Linked DNA regions of Macaca fascicularis. The protein of the gene in region 1 binds, or shares a complex with, the protein of each later gene. Links are inferred from orthologs where the notes say so. Each region holds a gene or a part of one and is shown in the gene's direction. Other genes may lie near its edges. The genes, in order: ERCC3 and POLR2D.

Region 1 (3,808 bases):
GCAGGCCCACTGTAAGCTGGGTTTGACTGCAACCCTCGTCCGGGAAGATGACAAGATTGTGGACTTAAATTTTCTGATTGGGCCTAAGCTCTACGAAGCCAACTGGATGGAGCTGCAGAATAATGGTTACATCGCCAAAGTCCAGTGTGCTGAGGTAGCTGGGCCTGGGCTGGGGGTGTCTGGGATAGGGCCTCCTCCCGTGGGCCGGGGAGTGATCAGATCGATTCCTCATGGGCAGACACAGGTCAGGACTTAGGCTTACCTGCTACCACCTCAGGCAGGATCCTCAGTCACCCTGTGAGTGGGTGGTACTAGACCCACTTGCTGCATGTATTCTGCCTTGTCACATATCTCACATACCCCTGAATTTGTGATGATTCTTTTTGCTAACCACGGGGTTTACCAGTCATGGATTTCTGTGGGTGAGGATTAGCGTTCAGGGCACAGGGAATAATGAAGGCCCCCAATACCACAGTGCTGCCTGGGAGCCTGGCAGCAAAGGGTTTTGCTCTGATGGGCCCAAGGGCCTAACTGACATGCTCCTGGCCCTGCTAGGAGGTGTGTAAATAGGTGGCAGTACTCAGCAGCAGTGCTGACTTGTGTGTGTGGAGGAATTGCTGGTGCTACCGGCTAAGACGCTGGTTTCCCTCACTGGCAGCTGGTGTGAAAATAACTCCTGGGATATGATTGCATTTACACATCTTCTAAGTGGTTGACATGTGAAAGCATCCAGTTCAACAGGAGGTATTAGGTTGGGTTTAGTTTTGTGCATGTGTTTATTTTCAGTTGTATTGATTTCTAATTCACATACCATTGGTTTTGGTTTTTTTGTTTGTTTGTTTGTTGTTTTTTTTTTTTAAACAGGGTCTCTGTCACCCAGGCTGGAGTGCAGTGGTGTGATCTTGGCTCACTGCAGCCTCCGCCTCCTGAGCAAGTGGTTCTCCTGCCTTAGCCTCCTGCATAGCTGGAATTACAGATGTGCACCACCACACCCAACTAATTTTTGTATTTTTACTAGAGACTGGGTTTCTCCATGTTGGCCAGGCTGGTCTCGAACTCCTGGTCTCAAGTGATCTGCCTGCCTCAGCCTCCCAAAGTGCTGGCATTATAGGCATGAGCCACTGCACTTGACTGGTTTTGTGTTTTTTTTTTTTTTTTGAGACGGAGTCTCACTCTGTCGCCCAGGCTGGAGTGTCGTGGCCGGACCTCAGCTCACTGCAAGCTCCGCCTCCCGGGTTTACGCCATTCTCATGCCTCAGCCTCCCGAGTAGCTGAGACTACAGGCGCCCGCCACCTCGCCCGGCTAGTTTTTTTGTATTTTTTAGTAGAGACAGGGTTTCACCGTGTTAGCCAGGATGGTCTCGATCTCCTGACCTCGTGATGCGCCCGTCTCGGCCTCCCAAAGTGCTGGGATTAGAGGCTTGAGCCACCGCGCCCGGTGTGGTTTTGTTTTAAAGCTAATTCTGCTAGAGAAAGGTCTTCAAAAGTTTTTAATTATGTGATGTTTAAACTTGTAAAATGACCCCTGGTTCTTACTGCATCACAGGTTTGGTGCCCTATGTCTCCTGAATTTTACCGGGAATATGTAGCAATCAAAACCAAGAAACGAATCTTGCTGTACACCATGAACCCCAACAAATTTAGAGCTTGCCAGTTTCTGATCAAGTTTCATGAAAGGAGGAATGACAAGATTATCGTCTTTGCTGACAATGTGTTTGCCCTGAAGGAATATGCCATTCGACTGAACAAGTAAGAACTGAAAACTTGGAGCTTCCTCCAGGCCAGTTTCTCTTCCCCATTGAGAGTGCAGAAGGTGGCTGTTGTTTTGTTTTTTTGTTTTTGTTTTTTTGTTTTTCCTCTCAGGAACCTCTTGGGATCCAAAGATCTTGTTCTGTGGCCCTGGTCTCAGTAAACCAAGGAAGACTTAGAAGTAGGTGGTTGGAGTCAGAGGTTAGAGCATAGAGAAAAGGGGGCTGGTCACTGGAGCCCAAAGAACAGGGAGCAGAGACTTGGACTGAGCTGGGTGGGGCCCCCTGGAAGATCTGGGCTCCAAATGTGGGTGGGAGTTGGCATTTGGAGCTTTGGACTGTGGGAGCTCTGTGGGTGGAGAGGAGGCCAGACTGGATGGCCTAGGGGCTGGGAGGGCAAGACGGGCTGGGCTGGCATCCCACGTACAGACTGGCATCTGGAAGGAGCTTCTTAGAAACGCCCATGCAGTATCCTCATCAACCCATAGCTCCAGCCAAATATCTGCTTAAAACCCAGCTCTTGTAAAGCTCTGCCAGGTAAGGAGGAAGAGGCCTGCACTTGCTCCCACAGTGATACAGGACTTCAGGTGCGGTAAGTGTTGCAGAAGGCCAGGCCCTCTGTGGAGACTGGTCAAGCTGTCTGCTACGTGTACCATACATATGTTTTACTTAATCCTCACTTCAGCCATAGAAGATGTTGTTCCCATTTTATAGAAGGGAAAACAAAGGCATAGAAAGATTAAGCTTCTCAGGTTTCTAAAATTATACCTTTATTTAATTTAGAAAGACTTTTTAATCCAAGTCAACATTTAGATTATTATGAAAAACAGCAATTCCCTGCTTCTATTTTCCCACCCACAATTCTATTCCTTGAAGACAGCCACTTTCCACTCTTTTTTGTTGTTTACCTTCATCTTTCTTTCTTTCTTTTTCTTTCGCTCTTTCTTTCTTTCTCTCTTTCTCTCTTTCTTTCTTTTTGTTTTTTTTCTTGGAGTTAGGGTCTCACTGTGTCACCCAGGCTGTAGTGCAGTGGCATAATCACAGCTCACGGCAGCCTTGACCTCCTGGGCTCAATCAGTCCTTCTACCTCAGCCTCCAGAGTAGCTGGGTCTACAGGCATGTACCACCACACCCAACTAATTTTTATATATTTTGTAGAGATGGGGTTTTGCTATGTTGCCCAGGCTGGTCTGAAACTCCTGAGCTCAAGCAGTCCTCCTGCCTTGGCCTCCCAAAATGCTGGGATTACAGTCATGAGCCACCACACCTGGCCTACCTTCATCTTTCTAAGCAGTAGCTTATGTAGTAATTTCTTGATGATCAGTTATAGAAATTGCCCATTAACTTCCTACTGTAGGAGTTGAGGGTTTAGCTTTCTCACGTACACTACTCTCCCCACTCCTGTTTTCTCTCCTACCATTCTCCCAGTATGGGAATAGCACAAGTTGGGAGTTACGTTAATATTCACTGTTACATTGTTTTGACTGTGTAAGTATGTTTAGAGAGAGCCATATAGTGTCATTGTTCAGGCGGAGGTGTAGAGTACTATTACTTTTTTTTTTTTTTTTTTTGAGACGGAGTCTTGCTCTTTCTCCAGGCTGAAGTGCAGTGGTGCTATCTCGGCTCACTGCAACCTCCACCTCCTGGGTTCAAGTGATTCTCCTGCCTCAGCTTCCCGAGTAGCTGGGACTACAGGCACCCGCCACCACGGCCTGGATAATTTTTGTATTTTTAGTAGAGACGGGGTTTCACCATATTGGCCAGGATGGTCTCGATCTCTTGACCTCGTGATCTGCATGCCTCAGCCTTCCAAAGTGCTGGGATTACAGGCATGAGCCACCATGCCTGGCCCTACATTTTCTTTTTTGTGAATATTTGTTTGCCTTGGAGTTAATAATTGCCTTGTCATTGTTTTTGCTTGGTTTTCTGTACATTTAATTATTCCTCTCCAAACTCTTCACATAACCATAAACTCAGTAGGGTCAGGTAATTTCTCAGTTCTGTTTTTCTGTTTCCCCAGTGGGATGCCCACCAGCACTCCATCCCCCTACTCTGTTCTG
Region 2 (4,271 bases), about 590 kb from region 1:
TTTGGTAGAGAGAGATTTCACCATGTTGGCCAGGCTGGTTTCAAACTCCTGACCTAAGGTGATCCGCCCGCCTCAGCTTCCCAAAGTACTGGGATTACAGGCGTGAGCCACCGCGCCTGGACTTTGCCTGTTTTTTTTTGGCCGGTCTCTCTCTCTTGCCCAGGCTGGAGTGCAGTGAGGCGATCATAGTTCACTGCATCCCTCAAGCGATACACCCGCCTAGGTCTCTCCAGTAGCTGGGACTACAGGCGCGCACCACAACGCCAGGCTAATTTTTGTATTTTTTAGAGAGGAGGTCTCACTATGTTGTCCAGGCTGGTCTTGAACTCTGGAGCTCAAGCGATCCTCCAGCCTCGGCCTCCCAAAGTGCTGGGATTTCAGGCGTGAACCACTGTGCCCGGCCCAATTCATTTGTTGTTAAATCAACAGAGTTTACAATATGACCTTCTAAACATTGTTGACTAATGAGCTAAGATATCGTTGACTAATAAGCTACGATTATTTCCTTTATTGTACAACCTTTCGTTTTCTCCAGTGTAGAAAACAGCATCATTTTTCATTTGCATTTCTTTTTTCTTTTTTAATATATATATATATATATATATATATATATTTTTTTTTTTTTTTTTTGAGACGGAGTCTCGCTCTGTCGCCCAGGTTGGAGTGCAGTGGCGCGATCTCAGCTCCCTGCAACCTCCGCCTCCCGGGTTCAAGCGAATCTTCTGCCTCATCCTTCCGAGTAGCTGGGATCACAAGCGCCCACCACCATGCCCGGCTAATTTTTGTATTTTTAGTAGAGATAGGGTTTCACCATTTTGGTCAGACTGGTTTCGAACTCCTGACCTCAGGTGATCCCGTCGCCTTGGCCTCCCAAAGTGCTGGGATTACAGGCGTGAGTCACTGTGCCCGGCCGTCATTTGCTTAATTTTCTATGCATCACCCAAATGTTCCAACAGACGTGTGGTAAAAGCCTCTGAATATCATTGTCCGCGTGCTCAGAAGTATTAGATAATCCATCACAAATGAATAAAATTTTAGAAGTGTAAGTCAGTGAAAGAAATTCGACCCGGCACGTTCGGAGTCGGCTGCCCTGCTCTCCATCAGCAGGCGTTCCTGCAGCTCATCTGACCCTCTCCGCCCAGAAAGGCCTAGGGACCTACCCCAGGACGTCTGCGCGGCGAGGCGCGAGGGAGGAGAGGGAGTGCAGGGCGGCCCTGGGCGGCGGGGAGCCTCCGGGACAACACCAGCAGGTCCCCTCGCTGCGCCCCGCCAGCCTCACACTCCCGGCCCCGCCCACCCCTCGGGGCCCCTCCCAAGACCACGCCCCTTCCGTGGCCGTTGCTCCGCGCTTCCGCTTCCGGCGGCGCTGGTGGTGGCGCGCGACTCAGCGATGGCAGCAGGTGGCGGCGATCCGCGGGCTGGCGACGTAGAGGAGGACGCCTCACAGCTCATCTTTCCTAAAGGTTGGGCTCGGGGCCGCCAGACTGCCCCGCGGCACTTCGCGTGGTCGCCGCAGGCCTGGCGTTATCCGCGCTTCGCCCAAGGCCTGGCCTCGGCGGCGGCTTGGGCAGACCCCCGCGCGGCGTAGGGCTGGGGAGGGAACGTGGACCTGGGAGTGGCCGCCTGGGCAACTGGGTTATTTTATGTGATAACAAACTGCGAAGTTCCGGGCGCTGGTGTCAAAGGTAAACAAAGCCGGAAACCCAGGTGGTGAGGACAGATTTTTAAACAGGGATAGAACGTTGCACTAGGGAGAAGAGTCCAGCGTGAACCGAACTCAACTTCGATTAGTACCGAACCTCTGGGCGTTTTAAAGGAGAGTTAGGGAATAAGGATGTGGTGAGCGGGGGCTCAGGGGAGTCGGGGAAGTGAGAAATGTAAAAAAGAGGGAAGAGGAGGGTCCGTGTGAACCCACCTTGGTTTGTTGACTGCAGCATCTATCGAAGTTAGGCCCCTACCCTCCCACCGAGGCGGAGAGACAGAGGCCTGTTTTCAGCCGTTGGCTGGAACAAACAAATTATTTTGTTTTTTTTTTTTTTTTGAGACGGAGTCTCGCTCTGTCTCCCAGGCTGGAGTGCAGTGGCGCGATCTCGGCTCACTGCAAGCTCCGCCTCCCGGGTTCACGCCATTCTCCTGCCTCAGCCTCCCGAGTAGCTGGGACTACAGGCGCCCACAACCGCGCCCGGCTAATTTTTTGTATTTTTAGTAGAGACGGGGTTTCACCGTGGTCTCGATCTCCTGACCTTGTGATCCGCCCGCCTCGGCCTCCCAAAGTGCTGGGATTACAGGCGTGAGCCACCACGCCCGGCCCAAACAAATTATTTTGGCAGCCTCGAGTTTTCTCAGGCACGCAGTGGTTGGGGAGGGTATTCCTAGGGATAAGGACCTCAAGACCTCAAGTGATCCATCCACCTTGGCCTCACAGAGCTGGCATTACAGGCGTGAGCCACCTCGCCCTGCATTTTTTTTTTTTTTTTTTTGAGGCAAGATCTCATTCTGCTACCCAGGTTGGAGTGCAGTGGTGTGATCACAGCTCACTGCAGCCTCAACCTTCCCAGGCTCAGGTAATCCTCCCACCTCACTTCAGCCCCTGGAGTACCTGGAACTACAAGTGCACACCACCACACCTGGCTAGTTTTTGTATTTTTTTTGTGGAGACAAGATTTCACCATGTGGCCCAGGCTGGTCTTGAATTCCTGGGCTCAAGTGGTCTACCTGCCTTAGCTGCCTAAAGTGTTAGAAAGTACAGGTGTGAGCCACTGCACCGGGCCTATTAATGGTCGTGATGACGGAACCTTACTAAAATTTCCAGATGACATACTGGCCAAGGAATTGTTTTCCTTTTTTAGCAACAGGGATTAATTATGGCCATTGTTCTTAAAATATTTGCACAAGAGAGAATAACATGCAGATCCCCTGATCTGTTTCCTTTTGTTTCCAAATAAATTGTGTGTGTGTGTGTGTGTGTGTGTGTGTGTGTGTATGCTTTCACTTGAAAATGTTTATTGGAATTAGCCATGGGGAGAAGTCTTGGATTCCTCCTCTCCGTAGTTATACAAAAGTGTCTGAACTGCCTCCCCCATCCCCATTTTGTTGATGCCGAATCCTGGGAATGCCTCCCAAAAGCTCTGTGGTAGGTCTCAGACACCCCTTTCCTAGGCCCTCTGAGTTACAGTTTGGCTGCCTTGACCTTCCTTGGTTGAAGGGAGTGAGGGTAATGTATTAGTAGTACTTGAATATTGTTCTTAATGAGAAATAGGGACAGCTGACTAGTTTCCTGGTGGCCTAAAAGTTCCATTCCTTTCCATTTAACAAGTAATTTTGGTTTAGTGCAGAAAGGGAGGCATCTGTTTTGTTTTGTTTTGTTTTTTTGAGACAGAGTGTTTCACCCTTGTTGCCTAGGCTGGAGTGCAGTGGCACAATCTCGGCTCACCGCAACCTCCACCTCCTGGGTTCAAGCGATTCTCCTGCCTCAGCCTGAGTAGCTGGGATTACAGGCATGTGCCACCATGCCCGACTAATTTTTGTATTAGTAGAGATGGGGTTTCACCATGTTAGGCTGGTCTCGAACTCCTGACTTTAGGTGATTCACCTGACTTGGCCTCCCAAAGTGCTGGGATTACAGGCATGAGCCACGGCGCCCAGCCTGGGATGCATCTCTTAACATTGATTTTTCCAGGACCTGTAAAAGCATCAAAGTTCCAACACACCGATTTGTAACTGATTAGCTACTTCTTCCCTTTTTTGTTTTGGCCTGATGTCATTTGTTACTGTCGCTTCAGAGTTTGGAGGTCCTGCAGTCCTGATATATAATGCCTTTTCCTCTACTCATTGCTGTGAGGCAGTAGTTTCTTCTGTACCTACAGTGCCTCAGTGTTAAAGATTAAAAGTAGTAAAGTTCCTGGTATACAAATAGGCACTCACTGTAGTACATCCCCTGTTATAGGCTGGAAGACAGAAAAAGGTGTTCTGAGGTTTTTGTTTAAACTCTCCTGCCCTCAGGTAGAAAATAGCTTTTGGTTACCTATTTTTTTATTTAGATTTTAATTTTATTTCAATAGTGCTCCAGCTGTATTGGTAGCCTATTATATTCAGTAGCAATGAGTACCTTTCAAATAAAAATAGACTTTCCTCCTGACCTACCACTTAAACTGTCTGTGTCGTGAAAGGAGAATGAGGCTCTTGTCAGTTACCCGGCTTGAGAATTGGGAAGGCGTTACTCTGAGGGAGGTGTTAGTGATTTCCCCGATAATAAACAGACCTATAGCACG

What was found.
Region 2: ERCC3 (region 1) and POLR2D share a complex: the UniProt entries of both Homo sapiens proteins name them as parts of the TBP-based Pol II pre-initiation complex. The link is inferred for Macaca fascicularis from reciprocal best matches to the Homo sapiens genes ERCC3 and POLR2D.

The regions. Positions count from the first base shown.
Region 1 is NC_088386.1:4,262,210-4,266,017, forward strand, and holds part of ERCC3 (general transcription and DNA repair factor IIH helicase/translocase subunit XPB), read left to right. Parts: coding exon 1-154; intron 155-1,546; coding exon 1,547-1,749; intron 1,750-3,808. UniProt on the Homo sapiens protein: ATP-dependent 3'-5' DNA helicase/translocase. Binds dsDNA rather than ssDNA, unzipping it in a translocase rather than classical helicase activity. Component of the general transcription and DNA repair factor IIH (TFIIH) core complex.
Region 2 is NC_088386.1:3,674,989-3,679,259, forward strand, and holds the start of POLR2D (DNA-directed RNA polymerase II subunit RPB4), read left to right. Parts: upstream 1-1,365; 5' UTR 1,366-1,390; coding exon 1,391-1,463; exon of another isoform or gene 1,464-1,685; intron 1,686-4,271. UniProt on the Homo sapiens protein: Core component of RNA polymerase II (Pol II), a DNA-dependent RNA polymerase which synthesizes mRNA precursors and many functional non-coding RNAs using the four ribonucleoside triphosphates as substrates.